Linked DNA regions of Arabidopsis thaliana. The protein of the gene in region 2 interacts with the protein of the main gene of each other region in a pairwise test. Each region holds a gene or a part of one and is shown on either strand. Other genes may lie near its edges.

Region 1 (5,945 bases), on a different chromosome or scaffold from region 2:
TCTTGACGTCACGATTGACTATAGAGGGAAGACGTTAGGTCACGTGAGTTCTGATGGCGGGCACGTGACGGCTTTTGGTTCTTCTTACCTTGACGCGGAGGCTGAGCTTGACGGCGTCATGGTGTTTCCTGACGTCATTCATTTGATTCACGATTTAGCTAAAGGCTCCGTTGAATTTGACACCGTTACGGAGACTAACGGGAAACTTGGCGTTTTGTTCTTCCGTTTCCCTTTAAAGGTAAGGAACTTGAGTTTTTACTCAATTATTTGGTTTATCAAACTTTATACTTTCTCATCATTTGAATTTGACTTTCTAGATTATATAATCATAGAAAATGTATGCAGTTTCTAATCAGATTAATGGAATTTTGTTTTATAATTATCTTGATGAACAGGCAAAAGTGGCATGTGGGATTCTAGTAGATACTGTTAATCAGACAATTTCTCGTCAAAGTTGTAGTCCTCTCTAATTCAAGAAACATCAATACATCATTATGATATTTTTGCTACTCAATCTTTTTAATCATTATGAGAATCTGATTTTGTTCAATGTCTACCAGTAAGAAATGTAGTTAACATCAAACATTTCTACAATGCTAAAAGTAACAATTAAAACCACAATAAGCTCCACAGTTAAATTATTTGATAGACATGATAAATTGGCGGACAATAAACATTAAACAACATTCTTTAGCAAAATGCATCATCTGAAGACTTTAAAGGAGTGGTTAGTGCAAGTGAATCCTCCATCAATCATCAAATTATCTCCGCTTATGTACCGCGAGTCATCGCTAGCCAAAAACAGAACAGCGTTCGCTACATCATCAACCGTCAGTTCCACCCCTTTTAGATTCGCGTTTGCAGCAGCAAAATTCCTGAAACCAACAAATGCATCCTCCGTTCTTTCTTCCTCCGGCAAATGAGCCAAAGCGAGTTTAGTTGCAACCGCGTAAGGCGAAACACAGTTCACACGTATCCCGTGCTGTCCAAGCTCCGCTGCAACACTCCTAGTCAAGCCTAGAACAGCATGCTTGGAACCAACATAAGAATGTGGACCAACGCCTCCCACAACACCTCCCACACTACATAAGGAAACTATCGACCCTTTCTTCTCCGGTATCATTACACGAGCTGCATGTTTCATGCTTAGAAAAGCTCCTTTCACATTCACATCAAAGGTCATCTCGAACTCACTCAAACTATAATTACGAATATCAGGGCACGGTGCTCCACATAATCCTGCATTGTTGATAAGTATATCAAGCGTCCCAAAATTTTTGACTGCAAAGTCAACCGCATTGCTAATGTCATCTTCCACTCTAACATCGCCATGGATGAAAAAAGCCGTCTCCTTGGACTCACCACGAAGCAGACTTTTACACACCTCACCTCCGAGATCATCTTGCAGATCAACAATGCAGACTTTGGCACCGTGCTTGTGGAACAGACGAACAATGCTCTCACCTATCCCTGTGGCTCCTCCAGTGATCAATGCCACTTTACCCAAAAGCCTGTCACATCAAGAACACAAGAGATTAAAAGCAAGTAATTAAATTGGATTAAACCAATCGCACCATAGTCTCCTAATAATAAGGTTGAGATGTTACATCAAACTTAAGACCAGTGAAAGAAAATGCAACAGAAAAAAAAAGAACTTTATTCATAAATTGATCTGGGCCACAAAATAAAAAAAAAAAGATCTGGGCCACAAAACTACAATGGTGAAAAGAAAGGACCACAAATCCAGTTTTGAAACAGAACGTGCAAAGGAGGTAAAGATGAATCAAATGGGACACAAAATAACAAATCTGAAGTTGAGAGATTTGTAAACAAAAGCCAAATGTATATCACTAGTTTATTGAATCAGAACTGATAAAACTAATCCAAATGTTTGAAGATCATAATAAAAAGCAAAGAGACTGAAACCTAGAGATCATAAACATTTCAAGATTTGACATCAATAAATCAAACAGAACCATGACTAGATCTCAAATCTGTCGTGAGCAGAGCAAAGACACTCATGAAACTGAAAAAACTCCATGGTCTGATTATCAACTGTTAATTTGACCCTCAAAGAACAAAATTTCAGTATTTAGAATGACCCAAGAAGGAAAAAAAGGTAAAGTAAACGAAGATCAAACAAAAAGAGTTGGATCAGAGGAAAAAGTTGGAGAAAGCTTATACCTTTGACTAGGAAGAGAAGAATAAGAAGAAGATTCAGTGTTCGTTGACATAATAGCTTTAGCTCCTTAGATCTTCTTTCTTATTCCTCGATGTAGTGCCTCACTATTGACACAGACAAGCTCAGGAATCATGCAAACACCTCTCAATCGGAGTTTGCGTTGTTTCTCGGCTATTTGGTGTCGGTCTCTATACGGCTATCAAAAAGCAAGTCCTGCTTCGTCATTGGGTTTTTATGGGCCTTAAATTGTAAGCCCAATAAAAGACTAACGGATTTGACTATAAGCACATTTTGCGGATTTTAGAGACGTTAAGTTAGACCGATCCAATTTGCACCAAACCAAACCGATCCGATTTAGAAAATTAAGGATACAATTATGATTCGTAATCGAACCGAAATCCAAACCGTATCAAACCGTCCATGATACAGAATTACAGTATAGTGTTGGGTTATTTGTGGTTTCACTTTCTGTAGATCATCCGTGAGATCGATTACATTCATTCATGGGTCATGATTGATCTTCGCACATGTGTTTCTACGAATTTTCACAAATGTAATTTATGTTTTCCGATATTTCTCTAGTGAAAGTTGTATCTCGAAAATTGAAACTCCAAAACCATATGAAAATGCGTAAATAATTGTGAAGAAGTATAGTCTCATACGGTTGATTAATTAGTCACGACACGTAACATCATTTTTTTATGAACCGTTTTTAAGCGAAAAAGCTAATAAGTTATACAGAAATCACAGTAACCACGTATTCCTTTAAAAAGATTATTGCTGCCGATATTTAGTACTTTGAGATGAAACAACATCGTTATATAAAGATTCTGACGAATAAGCATTTTAAGAAAAACAAGAACCACAACACAATTTCTACTTTGATTGAAATACTTAACGAATCAAAATAACCATGAATAATAAAAATATAATTATTGTTTACATGATGAATTGATGATATGTGTTATTTGTGGAGGGATGAAGAAGAAGAAGAAGAAGAAGAAGAAGGAAGCCATTGATATTCATGTTGATGATACCTACACTTGAACGATCTTGGATGCTTCGACGGTGAACACACACACTTCTTCTTTCCACCGCCACCGTCACCACCGCTACGGTGACCAGCGGTGGCTTCCACATCTGTTGCCACCGTCACTTCTGCCACCGGAGTATTTTCGTGGAAGCTCTCCGGAGGAATAACAAGAGGTAGAAGAATTTTGTAACACATATTTTTTTGTTTCACACTCAACACAAAAATTTAAAAGATTCTTCTTATTTAAGATTTTGTGTGTGTGGTTTACCAAAAGAAAAGTCGAGTATAAATACTCGTCACTCTTGATAACAAAAATAAAAAAGAAAAAGATGTTAGTCACTCTTTTGGAAATTAAATTATTTTAGTTACATATTTATCTTTTAGGTGTTTCGTAGAAGAGATGTCGCCAAACAAAGTTTCGAAACGTCACACGTGGCTAATGGTTTTGATGCACGTCTAGAGATTTGTGTTCAGAAAGAAACCATGAGGTCAGAAATTTGTTCTAGTGTATATCCGATCTTATAAATTTTTAAGGAAATAATTTGATGACGAGAGAAATATTGTTATGGATTTTAATTAGCTAAAGAAAGAAAAGAATATTATTAAAGCAAGTTTTTTCTTGCGAAAGATGTGGATGGTGGACCATAACTCTTTGGATGAAACAAATTGGTTTGGAGATTTTATATGGTAAAGAGAAAATGAAGTGATTGGAGAGGATAAGCGGTGGGAGTGGGCCGATTACGACATCACTTCCTTTCTCTTTGGGCTTCCCATTGTCACTCATCTTCTTTAGATAAACTTACTACTTTTGAGGTCATATATCAATCAGAAATTCACAACAACTAAAACTATCTTATAGTTAGAAAAATATCGCGATTGAATCATTTGAAACGTTATTAGTTTAAATATGTTATTTATCAAACCAAGAATGTGCAAAAGACTGTTTTACGTAACATCTCCTACTAATGGTTGATCCTAAATCCAGAGAGATTATGAATTAAAAGTTCAAGATTTCTTCGTTACAAAATGATTTTTCATAAAACACCAAAATTTGTAAGATTTGAATAACTTTACGTTTGTATTGTATTTCATTTATATCAAGATTAAAAGGACTAGATATATTTATATTTTCTTAGTTTTGGATATGATTCTTTTGAAAGTTTTGGCCTACTTTTTCTTACTTTTGGATATGATTCTTCTGATCTTGATATTATTACTTCTTAGTAGACCTATTAAAAATAAGAAAGAAATAAAAAAAGCCAATATGAATGCATGCACAATATGACTTTTGTACTAAATAATTGAGACGTACAGAATCCATATTCCAATAACATTTGATATTTGAAAGAATTAATTAGATAATCAATGGTAACTAACTTTTTTGAATAACTAGAGATTTTAGAAAGGAATTTCAAAGTCTTCAAACTAATAACAATGGATTTTACTAAGAATTTGGAATTCGTTAACCTATAAACAGTGGATTCTTACAAAAATTAAAACTATAAAATATCCTGCTCGCAATAAGCCTCCCTAATCTTTGTAAAAAACTCCAAAACATTGGAATGGAAGTAGAGAAGGTATATTAATTTAGTTTCCAAAAAAATGTGAGCGGATTGATATAAAAATTTACTAGTTCAAATAAAAAATTTCTGTAACGAAAGAGCATCAAGGCAAACAAAATCGTAATTAGATAATAACAATCAGAAAACAAACAAACTTAAAAAAGAGAGGCTCCAAAAATAACAACAACAACCATATAAAGACTACAATCTATGAACATTCCACGAAGAGCTTGATACACAACAACTCCTCTTTCTAGAAGCCTCTCTGCATCAGACCAGTTTTCTCCATTATTACCATCTCTTCCCTTTCCATCTTCTTCCATCTCATGGCTCAATCCTCCTCCAGAAGCTTCCGTAGTGAGATGAGACATTACTATGGCACAATCTGTAAGAATAAGCAACCAAAGAGGTCTCAAAGCTAAGATAGTGTTTGAGCTTGTAATGTTCAATCTCGGGAGTAAAACCACAAATGCGGCTATTGTGAGAGAGCTTAAACTCCGAGTTCTTTCTGAGCTAATGATGCTAGCATTGAGTTTCTTGGAGCTGAAGAAACATATAGGTCGTTGATTTTGACTCTTTTGTGATCTTGTTGCTTCTTCTTGTTTTGTTGGTTCAATTTTCAAGGGTTTGTGAAGAACAGTCGAGAGTTTTGGTTCTTCTGATCTTGCCTTTACTTCCTCTGCATTCATGCATGTCATGTCAGAGACAAAAATCATTACGATTCAATTTCAAGTCTTGAATGTTTCACTCGCATATTGTGCAATCAATTAATACATGAAAATTAGCATATAATAAGCGTCTATATGTGAAAATATCAAATAGTACCTTTCTCTTAAAATTTAATTCTAAAGTTTTAAATACGCCATATGTGAAACACAACATGAATTTATACAAATTACAAAGTAACTTTGATTAAAACACTAAAAATTATAGTTTCACATTTTCTACAAAAAAATATTATTTATGTGTGATTGGTAACTTAAATTATGGATGTAGTTACATAATTAACTAATTTTTTCATTTTTGTTTTGAATAAATTGTAAAATTTATTCGGAAAAACGTGTTTACATCAAATGCAACGGAAATTTAATCGTTTTAAAGTTACAGAAACTGAAAAAATAAAAGAGAACCCAGCCTCTTTATCTTGTTGCAAACCAAACTGTCATGT
Region 2 (9,950 bases):
AAAGACTAGCAAAGAACCAAATACTAGGATCAACACTATTTATAAATATGGATTGTCGGATAATATTTATTTCAATTTTGGACAAGTAAATTGAAAGAGGAAGAGACTAACAACAAATTTTGGGTGTTTTTATTATATACATAACAAGTCTGATTGTTGTCCATTTTATACAAAACAAAATAAAATTGAATCAGAGAAGTGATAGTCGACGATAGATCTCAGCCGGCTCTCAAGAAAAAAGAAGAAGAGATAGTCTCTCCGATCTTCAAATGGGTGCTGCTAAAAACAATGTCGAAATGGAGGAAGGTGCCCTGGAGATCGGAATGGGTAAACAACTATTTGGTTGTTGAATACATTCATTCATTGCAATGTAGGAGGATGCTAAATCTTCTTCCTCTTCTTTTTGATATATATTTCATCTGCAGAGTATAGAACAGTCTCTGGTGTTGCTGGACCTCTTGTTATCCTTGAGAAAGTTAAGGTATATTTACCAAGAAATTGTTCTATGTCTTGTTTTCTTGATGCATTATTATTGATTTATTGGGATTCCCAGGGACCTAAATACCAAGAAATAGTCAACATACATCTTGGGGATGGAACTACTCGACGTGGTCAAGTTCTTGAAGTTGATGGCGAGAAGGCTGTTGTTCAGGTTTCCAACTATTATTTTCCTCATTCAAAATAATGCAACACGGCCTTTTCTTTATAGTACTGTGGTGCTTGTCTAGGTCTTTGAGGGAACATCTGGAATTGACAACAAGTACACCACCGTTCAATTTACAGGGGAGGTATGTTACTACTCTCTTCTCTTGTTGCGTGATATATTTGGTTTACTCACTCACTTTTGCCAATATAGGTTTTAAAAACCCTTGTCTCATTGGATATGCTTGGCCGTATCTTTAATGGTTCAGGGAAGCCTATTGACAATGGTCCACCTATATTGCCAGAGGCTTACTTGGATATTTCTGGTGAGCACTCACTTTAGCCTCCTCTTGACGCATTCTTTTCCCTCTCACTAAAGAGGCTTCTGATCTTTGGTCTCTCCAGGAAGTTCCATCAATCCTAGTGAGAGAACCTATCCTGAAGAGATGATTCAGACTGGCATTTCAACCATTGATGTCATGAACTCCATTGCTAGAGGACAGAAAATTCCCCTCTTTTCTGCCGCCGGTCTCCTTCACAATGAAATCGCTGCTCAGATCTATCGCCAGGCTGGTTTGGTTAAGCGTTTAGAGAAGTCACATAATCTTCTTCAGGTATTGCTTTTCCCGCTGATAAAATATGACTACGCAGACGATTATATGACATCGTCACTCATTTGTAACTCTACGCAAAAGCTGTACATGTGTAACGCTATTCTTTTCAGTATTGACACTAACGTGTATCACCTTTGTTTGTGAATTTGCAGGACCAGGAAGATGATAACTTTGCCATTGTGTTTGCAGCCATGGGTGTAAACATGGAGACTGCACAGTTTTTTAAACGTGATTTTGAAGAGAATGGTTCGATGGAGAGAGTGACACTTTTCCTTAACTTGGCAAGTATCTCAATTAAGATGTAGATGCCTTGAAAAGATATAGCAGCTCTAATGTTTCCTTGACTTCAGGCAAACGACCCCACTATTGAACGTATCATCACTCCTCGTATTGCTCTCACAACGGCTGAGTATTTGGCATATGAATGTGGCAAGCATGTCCTTGTTATTCTTACAGACATGAGCTCTTATGCTGATGCTCTTCGTGAGGTGAAAAAACCGATATAGGCATTTCTTCTGTTTTTTTCAAGGCTTAATTTAGTGGTTAACGTTGATAATTGCACTAGGTTTCTGCTGCCCGTGAAGAAGTACCCGGTAGGCGTGGATACCCAGGTTACATGTACACTGACTTGGCCACCATATACGAGAGAGCTGGACGAATTGAGGGGAGAAAAGGTTCCATCACTCAGATCCCGATTTTAACTATGCCAAACGATGGTAACTTCTTCCTAGTCGTTTCTCTGGTTGTAGGTGTATATATATATATATATATATATGTTTTGTAGTAATCTTTTGATGTCTGAGATTTCTAATATCCATCCTTCTTCGTTGATCAGATATCACACATCCCACACCAGATCTTACAGGATACATCACAGAAGGACAAATCTACATCGACAGGCAACTTCACAATAGATAGGTACAAATGTTGCGCGGAAGATAAAATTATTTTCCTCGAGAGAGTTGTGGGCTAAATACACCTTGTGTTTGTATTCCATAGATAAACCCACCGATCAATGTCCTTCCTTCTCTATCTCGGCTCATGAAGGTAAAGTAAAGTCTTGTAGATTTTGGACTGGAGGAAGGTATCTCTATTTGGTAGAGATCACTCAGGTGTGCTGTGCAGAGTGCCATTGGTGAGGGGATGACTCGCAGAGACCACTCTGATGTTTCTAATCAGCTGTATGTGAACTATGCAATTGGAAAGGACGTACAAGCAATGAAAGCCGTGGTTGGAGAAGAAGCACTCTCGTCCGAGGATCTGGTCTCTCTATCTCTGTCTTTCTAAATGCCATGTTAAATAATGAATAAACTCTAAGCGTTTCTTTGTCACTCACACTGACAATAAAAACTTGGGGATGCATGCATGCAACAGCTGTATCTGGAGTTCTTGGACAAATTCGAGAGGAAGTTTGTGGTACAAGGAGCTTATGATACACGTAACATCTTCCAGTCGTTAGACCTGGCCTGGACACTCCTCAGGATCTTCTCCCGTGAGTTGCTTCACCGCATACCGGCAAAAACCCTCGACCAGTTCTATAGCCGAGACTCCACCAATTGATCGATCATCCCATGCTTCTTCTCCAAATTGCATCTCTTTTTGTTTTGCTCCTTTGCGCTTTGGTTTGCACCTCTCTGTCCTTTCCCAATAAAAGGTGACTGACCCAATCGCCGGCTATTCTTTTGAACATTCTTGTATCCTTTATTTATCAAATAAACTAAAATTAAAAGAACCTTGGAGACTTGAGCTGTTGCTGATCCTCGAATACTGCTTCAATTGCGATGATATATCTATCTAATAATAATAATAATAATTCCAGAGATAAGTAATTCCAAGAACATACATAACATCGACATGCTTATTATTAAACTGATGATAGTCAATTGTAAAGAGGACAAGATAATAAGAAATGTAAATTGGTCGTCACTGATGACTATTTGTTCTTCTGAAAAAATTGCCTTCAAAATTTTCTGAATATTTTTAATTTATAATATGATTTTGAATCATTATCTAAATATTTTAGTCGATTTGAAATGTTAAACACACATTTTCGTTAATTAGATAATATTAGGTAATATGTATGTTTTCTAAAATTTAAATTACAATATAAAGTAAAAGATTTTTTTTTTTTTGTTACTTTATGTATTATATAATTATTCAAAACAGTTTTAAAATCAAACAAATATGATAAGAGAATCATAATTTTAAATCTTCTAATAATAAATATTATTAATTTATTATTAAATATAGAATATTCCGTGTATGAGTCGGAAACAATTTGAACTGACCTTTTAAATTTTCTATGAACAATAAATACAAACGGATGGAGCATCCATAGAATCCGACAGCATTTTACCCCACCCGCCAAAAAATTCTTGTTATAAATTCTTAATTGCTCTGTTTTACCATACTCACGTTTTCATTGGCTATCTTTGACCGCCTTCTCTACAAGTGCTATAAAAAATTTAACAGCCTCGTTTAAACGTGATTACCAATGAGACGGCCATAATCTTAAAAATCACTCAAAATCTGCCAACCATTCATGACCTTGATATCAAAATACATTCAAATGTATAGAAATACAAAATTCAATAGCACCTAGTAAATTTAAAAGTAAAGCTAAACATTCATGACCACTATAATTTTGGATCAAACAATGCAAACGCAGCACATGACCGAGTCCGCGTCAGAAAAAGGGGCCAACTGCTCCGTAGCCGCCAAGAATCTCGCAGGTGTGGAACTTTCCTCCTTTATTCGATGAATCTCTTTCTTCATTCTTCTTCTTCGAATTGTACGTTTATTGAAAGACAAGTATATTTTCTTATTTACTATATAAAGTAATTTCACTTTCTCAGATCCCGATTCCTCTTGATCATCGTCTTCTTCTACCAAAATTGTTGCGCGACAATGGAGAAATACAACAGTTTATCAGATTTTCTCAAGGAGTTCTACATCCCTACGTACGTCCTCTCGGCGGAAACAGAAGAGGAGGAGGAGGAGGAGAGTCGTCCTACACCTGCGAGCCCCGTCCTTGTCTTCATCAACTCCAAAAGCGGTGGTCAGTTGGGTGGCGAACTCATTCTCACCTACCGATCTCTTCTCAATCACAATCAGGTCTTTGATCTCGACCAGGAGACTCCAGATAAAGTGCTCCGCAGAATCTATCTTAACCTGGAGAGGCTCAAAGATGATGATTTCGCTCGTCAGATTCGGGAGAAATTAAAAATCATTGTAAGAGAATGTTGTTTTCTTTGTTTCTTTCTCTCCAATTGAATGAAACATCATCTAATGCCATCCATTATTATTAGGTTGCAGGAGGTGATGGCACTGCTGGGTGGCTCCTTGGAGTTGTATGTGACCTTAAATTGTCACATCCTCCTCCAATTGCCACTGTACCTTTGGGTACAGGAAACAACCTTCCCTTTGCTTTTGGATGGGTGTGTGTCTTACTTACTACTACACTCCTCCTCTCAATACACTTGCCTGCATATGTTTTATTATTATTATTAAGTGTATGTATCTCTCTACAGGGAAAGAAGAATCCAGGAACAGATAGGACTGCAGTGGAGTCGTTTTTGGAACAAGTGTTGAAGGCAAAAGTGATGAAGATTGACAAGTAATGTTTTACATATCTGTCTCCACAGTAGTTTTTATTAGTCTTTACTTTTGGTGAATAACTAACAGACGACTATCTATCTGCTGCTTCAAGTTGGCACATACTTATGAGGATGAAAACTCCCAAAGAAGGTGGTTCTTGTGATCCTGTTGCTCCTCTTGAGTTACCACATTCTCTACATGCATTTCACCGTGTTTCTCCAACTGATGAACTAAACAAGGTGATTTACCTTCTTCTTCCCATTATTATTATATAGCTGTGTCTCTTCCTTTTTTTTCTGTCTTATCTTATATAGAAACACACCCTTTATGTTTTTCAGGAAGGCTGCCACACTTTTCGAGGAGGGTTCTGGAATTACTTTAGCCTCGGTGAGATATTTTAGCTTCAATCTAACTTTGGATTTCCCACAAGTCATTAGCAAAGTTAGATTTCCCCTTAGGAGTTGGTTGATGAGCTAACTTATTGAGTTTCAATCTAGTTATTGCATTGTTTGTATTGAAATTAAATAAACGAAACCAGCTGATATCCTTGAAAGACAAATCTCCTTGAAAGTTCTTCTTTCTATTGTGCTTATGAAGGAATGGATGCTCAGATTTCTTATGCGTTTCATTCTGAGAGGAAGCTTCACCCTGAAAAGTTTAAGAATCAGCTGGTTAATCAGGTACCTTTTGAATTTGACCTTTTAGATTACACCTTCTCTTTTAATACCCCTTCACTGGGATTTATACTAAACAAAGAATAAATACTTTGCATTTTGCTTTACAATGCCAGAGTACGTATGTAAAGCTTGGTTGCACGCAAGGATGGTTTTGTGCCTCTCTTTTCCACCCTGCTTCACGGTGTGTAAGATGTAGACATACTTTTCGTTTCATTGTTTTCTGTTTCTGAGTCTCAGGTCCCCCTCAACTTCTCATTCTCATTCACTGTTTTTCTCTTTCTGAGATTCTTGGACATGAATGATTATAATGCTCTGCAACACTACTGCCTTATCTTTTGTCTTTAGTATACTGTTCTAGTGTCAGTAATTAGAAATTTGGTACCCATCATTATTTTCAGCATTTGTTCTTTTTACTGCTTGGGTCTCGTTGTGTGCTAAACAACATCAAATTTGAAATACTCTCCAACATCAATATCGAAACATGTAATCTTATGCTGGTTTTATATTCTCGGTTAAGTGGTTCACATTTCTTACATTTCCTGTCTTTTGGCTGTAATTTAATTTCTGTTTATATATGATTTTGCTCTCTATCACAATGTTAAGGAAAGCTCTATGGCTTCCAATGCAGGAATATAGCTCAGCTTGCCAAGGTTAAGATTGCAACTAGAAATGGCCAGTGGCAGGACCTCCACATACCACATAGGTAATTTTTATTAATCCTGAGGGATCCCATTGGACACAGTTCAGGATGGACATGTTGGATAGTCTTGGGATCTTTCTCTGTTTGTAACCTTTAACTATATATGGTTACATTTCAAATGTTACAAAGCAATGGTTACATGATCGAATATGAACTACTCCAATTCGGACATTTGTTTCTACTCTTGCAGCATCAGGTCCATTGTATGTCTGAATCTGCCCAGCTTTTCGGGAGGATTAAATCCTTGGGGCACACCAAATCCCAGGAAACAACGTGATGTAGGTTTTACGAACTCTTGACATTGCCTGAGTGCTACATAAGTTTCTGATATATCCTCGTTTGTGTATTTATCTTCGCCATGGTAAAATAATATGCATTTTTCTTTGTTGTGACACAAACAGAGAGGCTTGACTCCACCATTTGTAGATGATGGCCTCATTGAGGTTGTTGGGTTTAGAAATGCTTGGCATGGTCTTGTTCTGCTCGCTCCCAATGGACATGGGACACGACTTGCCCAGGTAAGAATTGTACAAGTTGGAAATGATAACGATACACACAAATAAAGATGTGATGATTGAGTGCATACAAATGATAACTTCTGTGATTAGGCAAATCGTATTCGCTTCGAATTTCACAAAGGTGCAACCGACCATACATTCATGAGGATGGATGGGGAGCCCTGGAAACAGCCACTGCCACTGGATGATGAAACTGTGATGGTAGAGATTTCACACCTTGGCCAAGTGAACATGCTTGCAACTCATGACTGCCGGTCCAGAAGTGTGTTTGACCCTTCAACACCCCGCCATCAGGATGGTGCAGAAGATTATGATGATAATGAAGACGACTCAGTGGCTGAAGGCGAAGAATTTAGAAAGTTTGGTGCTGCGGATACCTTCAAGATTCCTGATGAGGTTGATATTTCTCAACTTAGTTAGACAATTAACCATTTTCATTGTTGATTCTATGCATTCTTCCTCCGGACTCCAATTTTTTTATTCACTCTTTCATAAAGGAGCCAACTAGCAGCAACTGGTTTAGATTGGTAACCATCTTTTTTCTTTGCTTTTGTTTGGTTGTTCACGTTTAATGGCCGAGATAATGTATCTGGATTTATAGCAACACAGATTCTCGTTTAACGCACATGTACTGCAGCAGTTAGCAGGACAGTGCAGAGACGCCAAATGCGAAACTTTCAGATGTTGCAACTCCTAAACATAGAATCTGACCTTTTTTTTATAGGGAGAACACAGTAATAAAAAAGGAAGGGCTTCAAGGAGGAGAAATTCAAATGTTCATGGTTGGTCACATGTGCTCTGAAGACAGTGCCTAAATCTTAAAGAAACTTGTCATATACTAGTAACAGCACAACAGTAACCTCATCAATGTATAAAATACTACATGAATCAACATTATGTAAACTCATGTAATTGAAAGGAAAAAAAGCAAACATATACACGTCTGAAATGTTCTTAGAAATGAGATATATATGTTCTTGGGCATAGTTGTTGCTAAGAAAACAAAAAAAGAAGTCACAAATGATTTTCTAAGATTTCCGTTCAACCAAGAAAGATGGGTTATATAGAGTATCTCCCAGACACTTGGAGATTGTTTCGTTAGCCTTCTGAGATTGGGCTCTTTCTCCTTGCTTCTTCTTCTCCCTGAGTAACCAAAAGTATAAAGATCCAAGTTAGGCTCTATATAGAAGTTTCATGGTGCAGCAAGCACCGTATATTCATTCAAAAATAGACCAGTGCCTAGTCTATTTAGATAGGGATTCAGTATCAGTACCTCTCGACATACTCCTTAAGCAATTCCTTGGCTTGGACAAGCTTTGAAAGCAGGTTACGATACACATCCAGGTCCCGATCCACGCTTTTCTTGTTGATATTTAGGGATGCACAAAGCTGTTTCATGAGACACAAAGATCAAAATTACCGTGAGATGTCAGAGAGAATACAGTTGCACATTGCCAGTGAACATAATGGATACAAAACTAGCAACATTTCTTCTTCCTCTAAACACAAGATTAAGCTGTTAATATAGATTAGCAAACCGAAGACGAATAGAATCACCTTGTCCAAGACAGTTGGATCAGTAGCACTTGCAAGCTCAAGCAAACGAAAGAGCCCAACAGCGAAGAACCTGCTGTAACTAAACCCCTCCTTACTACCAGCTCTTCCTGCAATGTCCTTAAGAACTGCTTCAATATCTCCTTCTTTAGAGGAAAAGTCAACTAGTGAAGCAGAAGTCTGACTTCGTGCCCATTCCTCCATCTTCTGAGCATCAATTCTGTACAAAAAAAGTTATCATCTTTAGAAAAAGACATTCAACAAGAAGACATTCATTATCAAGGAGAAGATGGAAGCAGGAAGAAGCAAACCGGTATTGCTTAGGATCCTCATTCAAGGCTTCAATGTAAGCCTTAAAAATGGCATCTCGGTCTTGATCACTCGGATATCCTTCCATGAGCTGATCATATACAGTGACAAATCCAAGGGCAAAAACAGGATCATAACGATAAGTCTTCTTATACCTCATCAAATGCTGCTGGACAATGAGCTCCTGCAAAACCGTGTTGTAGATACTCGGGATGGGTCGCTTGTAAGCTTTTAGGAATTTCGACTTTGTCTCTGATACAGGAGGCACATCTGACCAACAAAACCACAAGAGAGTGAATGCAGATAAAGTCAGAGCCTTTTTCAATACAAAACAAAGGAGAATGAATTGTGAAATGCAATGTGAAGTTCAAGAAGAGTCACCGGCGGTAACATTGGACATGCAGTGAATAAGAGATTTCGAAGTGGAACGCGAATTCAAAGAAAGGCGAGAAAACTTTGTGCAGATGCGAATTGCGGAGGCGAGAGGACGAGAAGATGCGAAATTGGAGATCTTGTCCGATTGACCCAAAGCTGGGAAGGAAAGAGAAGAGATTGCAGTTGCAGCCATCGCTAAATTGAAGTGAGAAAGAGAGGAGAAGAAGAGTTGTTGTTGTTGCTATGTTTAATCAGAAGAGTTCTCAAGTAATAGCCATTGGAAGGATGATGATGGCTCTGGTTGGATCTTCTGAGTTTCGACTTTCGAGTGGCTTATCCAACTCCACGAGATGTCGGTAGTGTGACACGTGTCCCTTGTCTGTCCACGTTAGGATTAGGCCCATTTACTTTGGATTTTGCTAGAGCTCGGTCCATCTAATAAAAGCCCATAAATAAATGCAGCATATATCACATGTACATAATGTTGCTCTCTGTTTCATTATCAATTGTACAAACTACAAAGTCCGTTTATTCATGCTCAAGATTCATCAGAATTCAACTCGTTAGTACATTGATCGTTTCCAAAAATGTCTTACGTCGAATTAGACATATGTACTTAAATCTTATTTAGGTTTTGATCTTCTTCTTTTTTTCAGTTAAAAGGGTTATTGATCACTTCTCACTCTCTTTCTATGGAATAAGATGAACTGATGAAGTACAAACACCAAATACTTAAGTTTTATATGTGAAAATGATTGACCCCATTAGATTCATAGTCACCGATCAAGAAAAAAATGATGGTCGAAAATAGAATCTAAAATGTGGAAGATGACAAAAACTGTCTCCACCCAAAAAAAAAACACAAGCTAGATCAGTCATACAACTAAGCATATCTATATTCTAACAAAGGTCCTAAATTGTATCAGAAGAAGAGTTTTGTGTGGCGTCAAGATCGTCCTTATGG

What was found. The genes of interacting proteins can lie anywhere in the genome.
Region 1: the proteins of DGK5 (region 2) and ABA2 interact in a two-hybrid assay, tested with the Arabidopsis thaliana proteins (one large-scale study listed by BioGRID).

What each region holds. Positions count from the first base shown.
Region 1 is NC_003070.9:19,489,294-19,495,238, forward strand, and holds ABA2 (NAD(P)-binding Rossmann-fold superfamily protein), read right to left. Parts: upstream 2,358-5,945; 5' UTR 2,235-2,357; coding exon 2,185-2,234; intron 1,512-2,184; coding exon 704-1,511; 3' UTR 501-703; downstream 1-500. Other genes in the region: AT1G52330 (Late embryogenesis abundant (LEA) hydroxyproline-rich glycoprotein family), read left to right, coding at 1-352; AT1G52342 (uncharacterized protein), read right to left, coding at 3,147-3,410; AT1G52343 (uncharacterized protein), read right to left, coding at 4,933-5,456. UniProt on the Arabidopsis thaliana protein: Involved in the biosynthesis of abscisic acid. Catalyzes the conversion of xanthoxin to abscisic aldehyde.
Region 2 is NC_003071.7:8,987,012-8,996,961, reverse strand, and holds DGK5 (diacylglycerol kinase 5), read left to right. Parts: upstream 1-3,686; 5' UTR 3,687-3,988; exon of another isoform or gene 3,989-4,111; 5' UTR 4,112-4,163; coding exon 4,164-4,487; intron 4,488-4,564; coding exon 4,565-4,693; intron 4,694-4,786; coding exon 4,787-4,872; intron 4,873-4,965; coding exon 4,966-5,092; intron 5,093-5,191; coding exon 5,192-5,240; intron 5,241-5,450; coding exon 5,451-5,533; intron 5,534-5,643; coding exon 5,644-5,711; intron 5,712-5,772; exon of another isoform or gene 5,773-6,118; intron 6,119-6,158; coding exon 6,159-6,233; intron 6,234-6,420; coding exon 6,421-6,508; intron 6,509-6,631; coding exon 6,632-6,748; intron 6,749-6,838; coding exon 6,839-7,144; coding exon of another isoform or gene 7,145-7,168; exon of another isoform or gene 7,169-7,472; coding exon 7,473-7,550; 3' UTR 7,551-7,687; downstream 7,688-9,950. Other genes in the region: photosystem II reaction center PSB29 protein, read right to left, coding at 7,777-7,891, 8,022-8,137, 8,306-8,522, 8,614-8,881, 8,993-9,179; ERF53 (Integrase-type DNA-binding superfamily protein), read right to left, coding at 9,899-9,950.